Linked DNA regions of Rattus norvegicus. The protein of the gene in region 1 purifies or fractionates together with the protein of each later gene. This does not show direct contact. Links are inferred from orthologs where the notes say so. Each region holds a gene or a part of one and is shown on either strand. Other genes may lie near its edges. The genes, in order: Ctnna1 and Tes.

Region 1 (3,826 bases):
TCTTGAGTAAAAACATAGTAACAGTCCAAAATTTATTTCTAAATAGAGAAACTTACTAGAAAGTAATTCTGTCTGAATTTTAATTCTCCGTGCCCCCGAGTTCATTAGGAATTCCTTGCACATCAGCACTTCTCAACCTGTGCATTGTGATACCAAAGATATTTATACCATCCACGCAGCACTGAGAAGGCCCTCTCATTGTATTGGAAACAGGCAAAGGGCATCCTCCCTCAAGACCACTCAGGACTCTTCCTTACCTTACAAAGCCACTAATGTCACCATGGGGTTACACTTCTCGTAATGTTAAGAGGGAAATGAGAAGAAACTTTCACTTGGATTTCCAGTGTTCTTAGTAGAGTTAGATTACTCGGAGCTTAGCTTTTTAATTTTAGTCACCAGTGCATGGAATGATACGTCAGATTTATGAAAATTAGTTTTTCCTCTCTATGTATATTTTCTGTTAGTCCTTAGCTTGACTATGATAGATAGGTGGAGTCAATCCAAAACAAAAGTCTCTTAAGTAATTTGCTATGTTGCTTTATAGCTCACTTTTCACCAAAATTTAGATTATTAATCAGTATCATATAGCTTGAAAGGAATGCCTTTTCATTAATTTATTATTACAATACCAGTACCCAATACAAACGTGGCTCTAAAGAGGGGGTGGCATTTATCCTTAGCACCTAGGATAAATGAGACTTATTTGTTATTCTCATCATAGAAGCTTGGCAAGTGAGAGTTTGTTCAGAAAATGCTAACATAGAAAATATTTTCCAGTTACTTGAACCTCATGACTAGCCACATTGCTTGTTGTACTTGATTCTTGAAATGATCCCTAACTCTCTAAAGCCAGGATAGATGGCTCTGAGTACTTAGCCTAATGTAGTCTTTAGAAAAGTAGAAGTTTATTGTACTAGACTCTAGACTACCCAGTGACCTAGGAAAATTGACTACTCACTCGGTACCTGTTAACTTTAGGTGATTATGAATATCTGTGGCAGCCTTTGCTGGAGACTGGGCTGATGTATCTTTTGAGTGTTTAGCAACAATGAGGCTTATTGTAGAACATTTTATAGAACAAGGCATAGTATAAATACTTAAAGGCAGATATGGTCATAGGAGGCTTAAGGGGCCTTGCCATGGTGATAAAGGCAAATAATTAGAAAATGCCCACAAAATATGTGTGCCCCATATTTAAGCTTAATGTTAGCCACAGCCCCTTGTTCCAACTTAAGTTTGAAATTGCTCACACATCCAATCTACAGGGTCCCGTTTCTGAATATGTAGCCTAACATAGCATGCTACAGGGCATTTGGTGTGTTGTAAGCTATGACCTGCAAATTCAGGTGCTAAATGAGAAAAGAATTCTAGGTAGAAAAGCAGCTGTCTTTGTACAAGGTTTGAATAAAGATGTAAACTCCCAAATTATATACTGAGATTACGTTTCAGAAGAAAGAAATGGGTCAGTGTTTTAATGTTTTATTAAGAAGTCATCTAGGGGGCTGGAGAGATGGCTCAGCAGGTAAGAATACTGGCTGCTCTTGCATATGACCCGGGTTCAATTCCCAGCACTCAGACTGAAAATTGTCTATAACTCTAGTTACAGGGGATCTGACACCTCACACTAATGGACATAAGATAAAAATTAAATTATATATGTGTATGTGTGTATATATGTATGTATGTGTATATTTCTTGTATAAAAGTAGTCATCGAGAACTGGAGAGATGGCTCATTGGTTAAGAGCACTTCCTGAGGTCCTGAGTTCAATTCCCAGCAACCACATGGTGGCTCACAACCATCTATAATGGGATCCAATGCCCTCTTCTGGTGTTTCTGAAGACAACTACAGTGTACTCATATAAATAAAAATAAATAAATCTTTTTAAAAAAGTCATTAAATAATTAACTCAGACTTTTTGAATAACTGACTTTTCTACATTACTTAATTTTTTCATAGTTTATACATGTAATACTAATCTTAAAAAGATTTATATCTGTATTCTAATATTCTGTTAGTGATATTAACAGTGGAATTTTATGTTTTCATGTAAAGGACTGTTGGAGCAGACTTTGAGTGTAGGGTAATTCCTCCGCTCTAATAGTGATCCACATTTATCAAAGACTCCTGTGTCTTTTAAGTTTCAGTAATGAGGACTAGATGCTACCAGTGTTTCCTTTGTCTTTTGTGTACTAATACGTAACCCATCCATCCCTCTTAGTGTTCTAGATGTCACTAGTTACAATGACATTAGCAGTCTCATATTCTTATAATTATGGGGTAGAAGAAATGATAAAGGATCTTTCACTTGAGACCACAGCTCAGAATTTTATAATCATAAATTGCAATTATGGAGCACATGTTCCTCCATTTAGTGACTTAATGGCCAGTAAACTGGTGGCTCTTACTTTGTGAGAAGAGCATAGTTTTGTAATCTAGAATGGTCTTTGGGGTACGAAAATGGGGAGGAAGTGTTGTATACTTAGGAGAATAGCTGATCATATACTTAACCTAGTTGGTTTGCAAAGTTCATACACACGTAGTATTGTGTTACCAATTTCATAAAATTCTTGTAATGGACTAAGATAACTTAAAGTCTCATGTTTTCCACTTAAATATGTCTATGTGGACTTTCTCTTTGGTTGGAATTCTAGTTATATGGACCTGATCAAGATGTTAAGCAGTTTTACATTGTAACATTTATTTTATGCCTTATTTAGTGTTAGGTGCTCTGTATGTGTTATCTCATTTTATTCCTCAAAATGCTAAAAGAGCTATAATATTGTTTCTGTTTTGAAAAAGGAGAAACTGAACACGAAAGTTTACAGTGAGGATACAGTAGATGGCCAGGAAAAAGTAAGCTAGGAGATTCAAGTCAAGGCTCATGCCTGCAGAGCTGTCCTTACGTACTTAGCCACGTAACCTCCGTTGTGATCACCTTTCAGCCTACATTAATGCAGATGTGTCTTGATATGAATAGAAACCTTGTAAAGACCCTTTCGATTATTTTATTTCAGGAACTGAAAGATGTGGGCCATCGTGATCAAATGGCTGCAGCTAGAGGAATCCTGCAGAAAAATGTTCCCATCCTCTACACTGCATCCCAGGCATGCCTGCAGCACCCCGATGTAGCAGCCTACAAGGCCAACCGGGACTTGATATACAAGCAGCTGCAGCAGGCCGTCACGGGGATCTCTAATGCTGCCCAGGCTACTGCATCAGATGACGCCTCCCAGCAGCAGGGTGGCGGCGGCGGCGGGGGAGAGCTGGCGTATGCTCTCAACAACTTTGATGTAAGTAATATTTGGGAGGAAGGTTTGGGCTCTTCACCAACTGCCAAAAGATAACTGGTTCCTGGGGAAATATGATCAAGACTGTGATGAAAGCCCATTTTCCAATTAAATTTGTTCTCTAAGTGGAAAGAAATTGTTATGAGTCATAAGTTTACTTTATTGTAACTTGGCTTAAAGCATTTTTTCCCCTCTCTCCTTGTGTGGCTAAACTTTAGGATTCTTCTATGCGATTTGTGTTTCCTTGCCTAGTATTTTTTTCCTTTTAATATGGTTCTTCTTGAGGCTATGAGTCTGGCTCATTCCAGCTAGGATTTTACCATCTGACAAATGTGGACCTGTGAGAGGTACAGAAGCAAAGTGAGTAGGCTTTGTCTCTGGGGAACTCATGGTCTAGTGAGAGATGTAGGTAAATCATACTGCTGTCATCTTAATCTCACCTGCCTGCCTAGGTAGATTTCTGCTTTTGTGATTTCCTTTGAGCCATGAGCACAGAAGTTTAACCACATTGAAATAGATTTGAAATTAGTTTTAA
Region 2 (3,826 bases), on another chromosome or scaffold:
TGCCTCTTACGTCACAAAAGTGAGAAGCCAAGAGCCAGCCCCTACAAAGAAAGCAAGTGCTTCCTTCGTAGACTCTATAAATCTAGGCAGTTCCAGAGCCCTAAATGCACTGACTACCCAAGATGGCTCGTCCTGTCTGGGCATTTGCCATATAGATTATATATGATGCTTGGCAATAATGTTTTAACTTAGAAACATTACTTAATAGGAATGGATTTATTCTTATCACCGCAGATCAGATTCCATTTAAAGTGGTTTCCGGGGGCCTTACCATTGGCTCATCAGTTAAGAGAGCTTGTTGCACTTCCGGGGGGCCTGGGTTCTATTCTAAGCACCTACGTGGCAGCTCACAGTCATCCGTACCTCCATTCCTACGGGGTCTTTTGGCCTCTTCAGGCACCAGGGACACACATGTTACATGGCCATGTATGCAGGCAAAACACCCATACATGTAAATACTAAAATAAATAGATCTTTTAAAAAAAATGGTTTCACTACATGCTGCTAATCCACCCATGAGGCCCTTGACTTGCTATCTAGAGATTGCTGAGTGACTGTTTCCAAACATTTGTGGAACTGATCGAATACAGAGGAAATTGGCCTGTATATTTAGGTTGCCGTGTGGGACATTCAGGTGCTTAATGTGAGAGCATATTTTTATGACATCCATTGTGTTCCACAGAGCGCCTGCTGCTGCATGCTGGCCAAGAGATGGTAACGTAGATACACGGTGAAAAGATGACCATATATAGTCAGCTTATAAGCCTTCCTGGCTGATAATATCAGAAGGATGGGCTCCAGCGTTTTCTTAGTTTAAAGTTCCCTAAGCTATCGCATAGGGGAAACTCCTAGGAGAGGGGGAAAACAGTACCTGTGTATAGTTCTAAGAGTCCAGTACGTCTACAGAGAAATAAGCTTAGCTGTGTGCCCGTCTTCCGTCTTGACGCACTGCCTAATATTAAAACGAGCTGTCTTTATCTCACCAGTGCCGAAACAATGGGCTGCACATTATTTAATTCACTGTGTTAATCTGTGCAAAGATTTTGATATATATAAAAGAAGTGAAAGAGAAAACATGTTTAGACCCGGAGAAATGTCCTCAATCTAATCAGGGCATTTATGAGGTAAAAATCACCCGGAAGGAGGAGTGAGATGGGAAGAAACCCAGTTTGTCCCCATGTGCACACCAGACTCCCACTGGCCACCCAGGATTCGCATCTGTAAGGCTCTCAGGGTCCTCCAGCCAGAGAGCCCATGACGACACAGCATTATCTACCTCACATCCTGTGTTCAAATAAAAGAAAGCAGGAGGGATGGAAGGAACTGGCTCTTTGAGCTGTGTGAGGACTATTTCACAGGCAGTGCACTGCCAGGCACATTGCGATGAAAGGTATAGTCCCCAGGCAGGCCCTCTGTGGCATGTAGCTTTGAGCTTTGTGGATAAGCAAGGATCTGCTGGTGTTAGCTGGAGTCATATGTAAGATTCCTAGACGAATGGTGACCCACTGCAGTTGTGAAGCTAAACTGTATGGAACCATAAACCCTAAATGCAACACCATGCCATTTGTGTATCCGTGTGATTCTTTCTGACCTAAAGACTCCCCTCAATTTCACGTGCAATTGAATAACTGGTTTGTCTTCTTTCTTATACTAAAAATGAAAAGGCCATGTTTCATCTAATAATAAAATGATCCACAAATAATGTTACAAAACAGAAAGTAAAAAAGGAAAGCAAAGGGGTCCTCTGTCACACAGTTCTAAAGTGTCGGAAGACTAATACGAAGTACAGAAAACCAGAACATTCTACGTGAGCTATCGCACTACAGAAATTCCATGCAAAAGCAACCATTTGCATGATGCGGCTGCAGATTCAGGGGGAACTTAGAGCTTCCACATTGAATATTATTTGTATTCAGGACACCTATCTGCATTATGCAAAGAATGTCTGTTTCCCAGCCAGGAGGTAGTTGTTAGACCTGTAGATAGAGTCTCTACAATAAGAAGGTACGTAGCTGTAAAATATACAAAAAGTATATTTCAGGTCTGCAGTGGCTGTGTGATGCAGGTCACCTCATTGTCCAACAATGGCCGTCCCACTGCAGTAATCCCCAACCAAGAGACAAGTGGTACTTAAGGTTGATCAGTGCCACATGGTATTCCCTCAGCTGTTGTAAAACCAAGATCTTAGATGTTTCTCATTTTATTCAGGTCATATATAAACAATGCAAATGACTCTCCTGCGTTGAAGCTTTCCGTGAGGTGGTTTTCTGTTGTAATATTAATGGCTGCTTCTCGTTCTCTTCATGTGTATCATCAGTTAAGAATATTACGCGTATGTTTACCTCATTAGTATATTGGAGTATAACATACCCAGGATACTGAATGGTGGGCTAGGAATATACCACCTCCGTCAGTACTGTCCTGACACAATGTGCATGGTGTCCTGGGTTTCCTGCACAGCACTACCTAAATCACCCGGTATCACAGCCCTCGGGAGGCGGAGGGAGGAGAAGTATCACGAAGTTAGGTCCGGCCGAATACCTTCTCCCAGACAAAACAAAACAAAGGGTGCTGCAGGGAAGGGAGGTATTAAAGTTCATGGCATAGATCACAGATAAACGATGACTAAACTTAGGACAGAACAGAAGCTGATTAACTACACGTTATATTTATGGTGTGAACCCCTCATTCGTTTTCAAATACTGTCTGTACTTTTATTCAAATCCTTAATTATTTTGAGCATGACTTTAGTTTACTACTCTCTTGAAATTGGTGGGTGTTAACAGTCACCTGTGTCAGTGTCCTAGGCATGACACATCCTAGTGATGTTACCACTTCAGAGCGTTAATGAGTGCGGGAAAACAGTCTTAGAGATTCCTTCTAATTGTTTCGGTGAAATCTACTAAAATTTGACTGGAAACAAGTGCGGTGCTTTGGGATTTGCCATCATAACTTCCTATTTACACCCTGAGGGACATCTACGGACCGCACTCCCACCCTGTCCGTCACCTGCCATTTCTCGGCACACTCAGCATACAGGGCCCCGTCGGCACAGTGTCTCACAAAGATGTCGCTGTCTCTAACCCTCTTCTCCATTCATCCCCGAGCAGGTGTGTCAAGGGTGCCACAATGCCATCGACCCGGAAGTGCAGCGAGTGACGTACAATAACTTCAGCTGGCACGCGTCCACGGAGTGCTTCCTCTGCTCCTGCTGCAGCAAGTGCCTGATCGGGCAGAAGTTCATGCCTGTGGAAGGGATGGTTTTCTGTTCTGTGGAGTGTAAGAAGATGATGTCCTGAGTGAACACCAAGCAGTATTGAGCCATAGCTGTCTACAGTGGCCTGCATTTCATGATAAACTGCAGTTTAAAAAAAAAATAAAAAATAAAAGGAAAAAAAAAAGCTACATAACGAACCGGAAGATTTTGTCCAATATTTTTCTCTTTTTAACCATTATGAATTTTGTCTGTCTTATTTTTAAATGACTGCTTTAAGCGCATGATTTAAAAAAAACAGTAAAGAATTATAGCTTTTATTTCTGCACATTAAATATTTGAGTTGGAAGCTTGAATTTAATCAATCCTTATAACCGCATACTCCTAGTGCTAGATATATTATATATATATATATATATAAAATCACTTAAAATTAGTGTCCTGGGAGAGATGAACATTTTAACTTCCATGCTTGTCCCCCATGGGAAATGTAAAGGAAGTTACAACCGCCTGTCGAGCGGTTTGATGATGGTGACGTCAGCTCAGTGAGGAGTTCCTTGTGGCAGGCAGTGTGGTCCACGTTGGGTGTTCCAGTGCCTAAGCCTTTGCATC

Evidence for each region.
Region 2: the proteins of Ctnna1 (region 1) and Tes purify together in Homo sapiens (affinity purification with mass spectrometry; 3 studies listed by BioGRID and IntAct, with this or other methods). This does not show direct contact. The link is inferred for Rattus norvegicus from reciprocal best matches to the Homo sapiens genes CTNNA1 and TES.

The regions. Positions count from the first base shown.
Region 1 is NC_086036.1:27,057,812-27,061,637, forward strand, and holds part of Ctnna1 (catenin alpha-1), read left to right. Parts: intron 1-3,018; coding exon 3,019-3,294; intron 3,295-3,826. UniProt on the Homo sapiens protein: Associates with the cytoplasmic domain of a variety of cadherins. The association of catenins to cadherins produces a complex which is linked to the actin filament network, and which seems to be of primary importance for cadherins cell-adhesion properties.
Region 2 is NC_086022.1:46,365,448-46,369,273, forward strand, and holds part of Tes (testin), read left to right. Parts: intron 1-3,110; coding exon 3,111-3,299; 3' UTR 3,300-3,826. UniProt on the Homo sapiens protein: Scaffold protein that may play a role in cell adhesion, cell spreading and in the reorganization of the actin cytoskeleton. Plays a role in the regulation of cell proliferation. May act as a tumor suppressor. Inhibits tumor cell growth.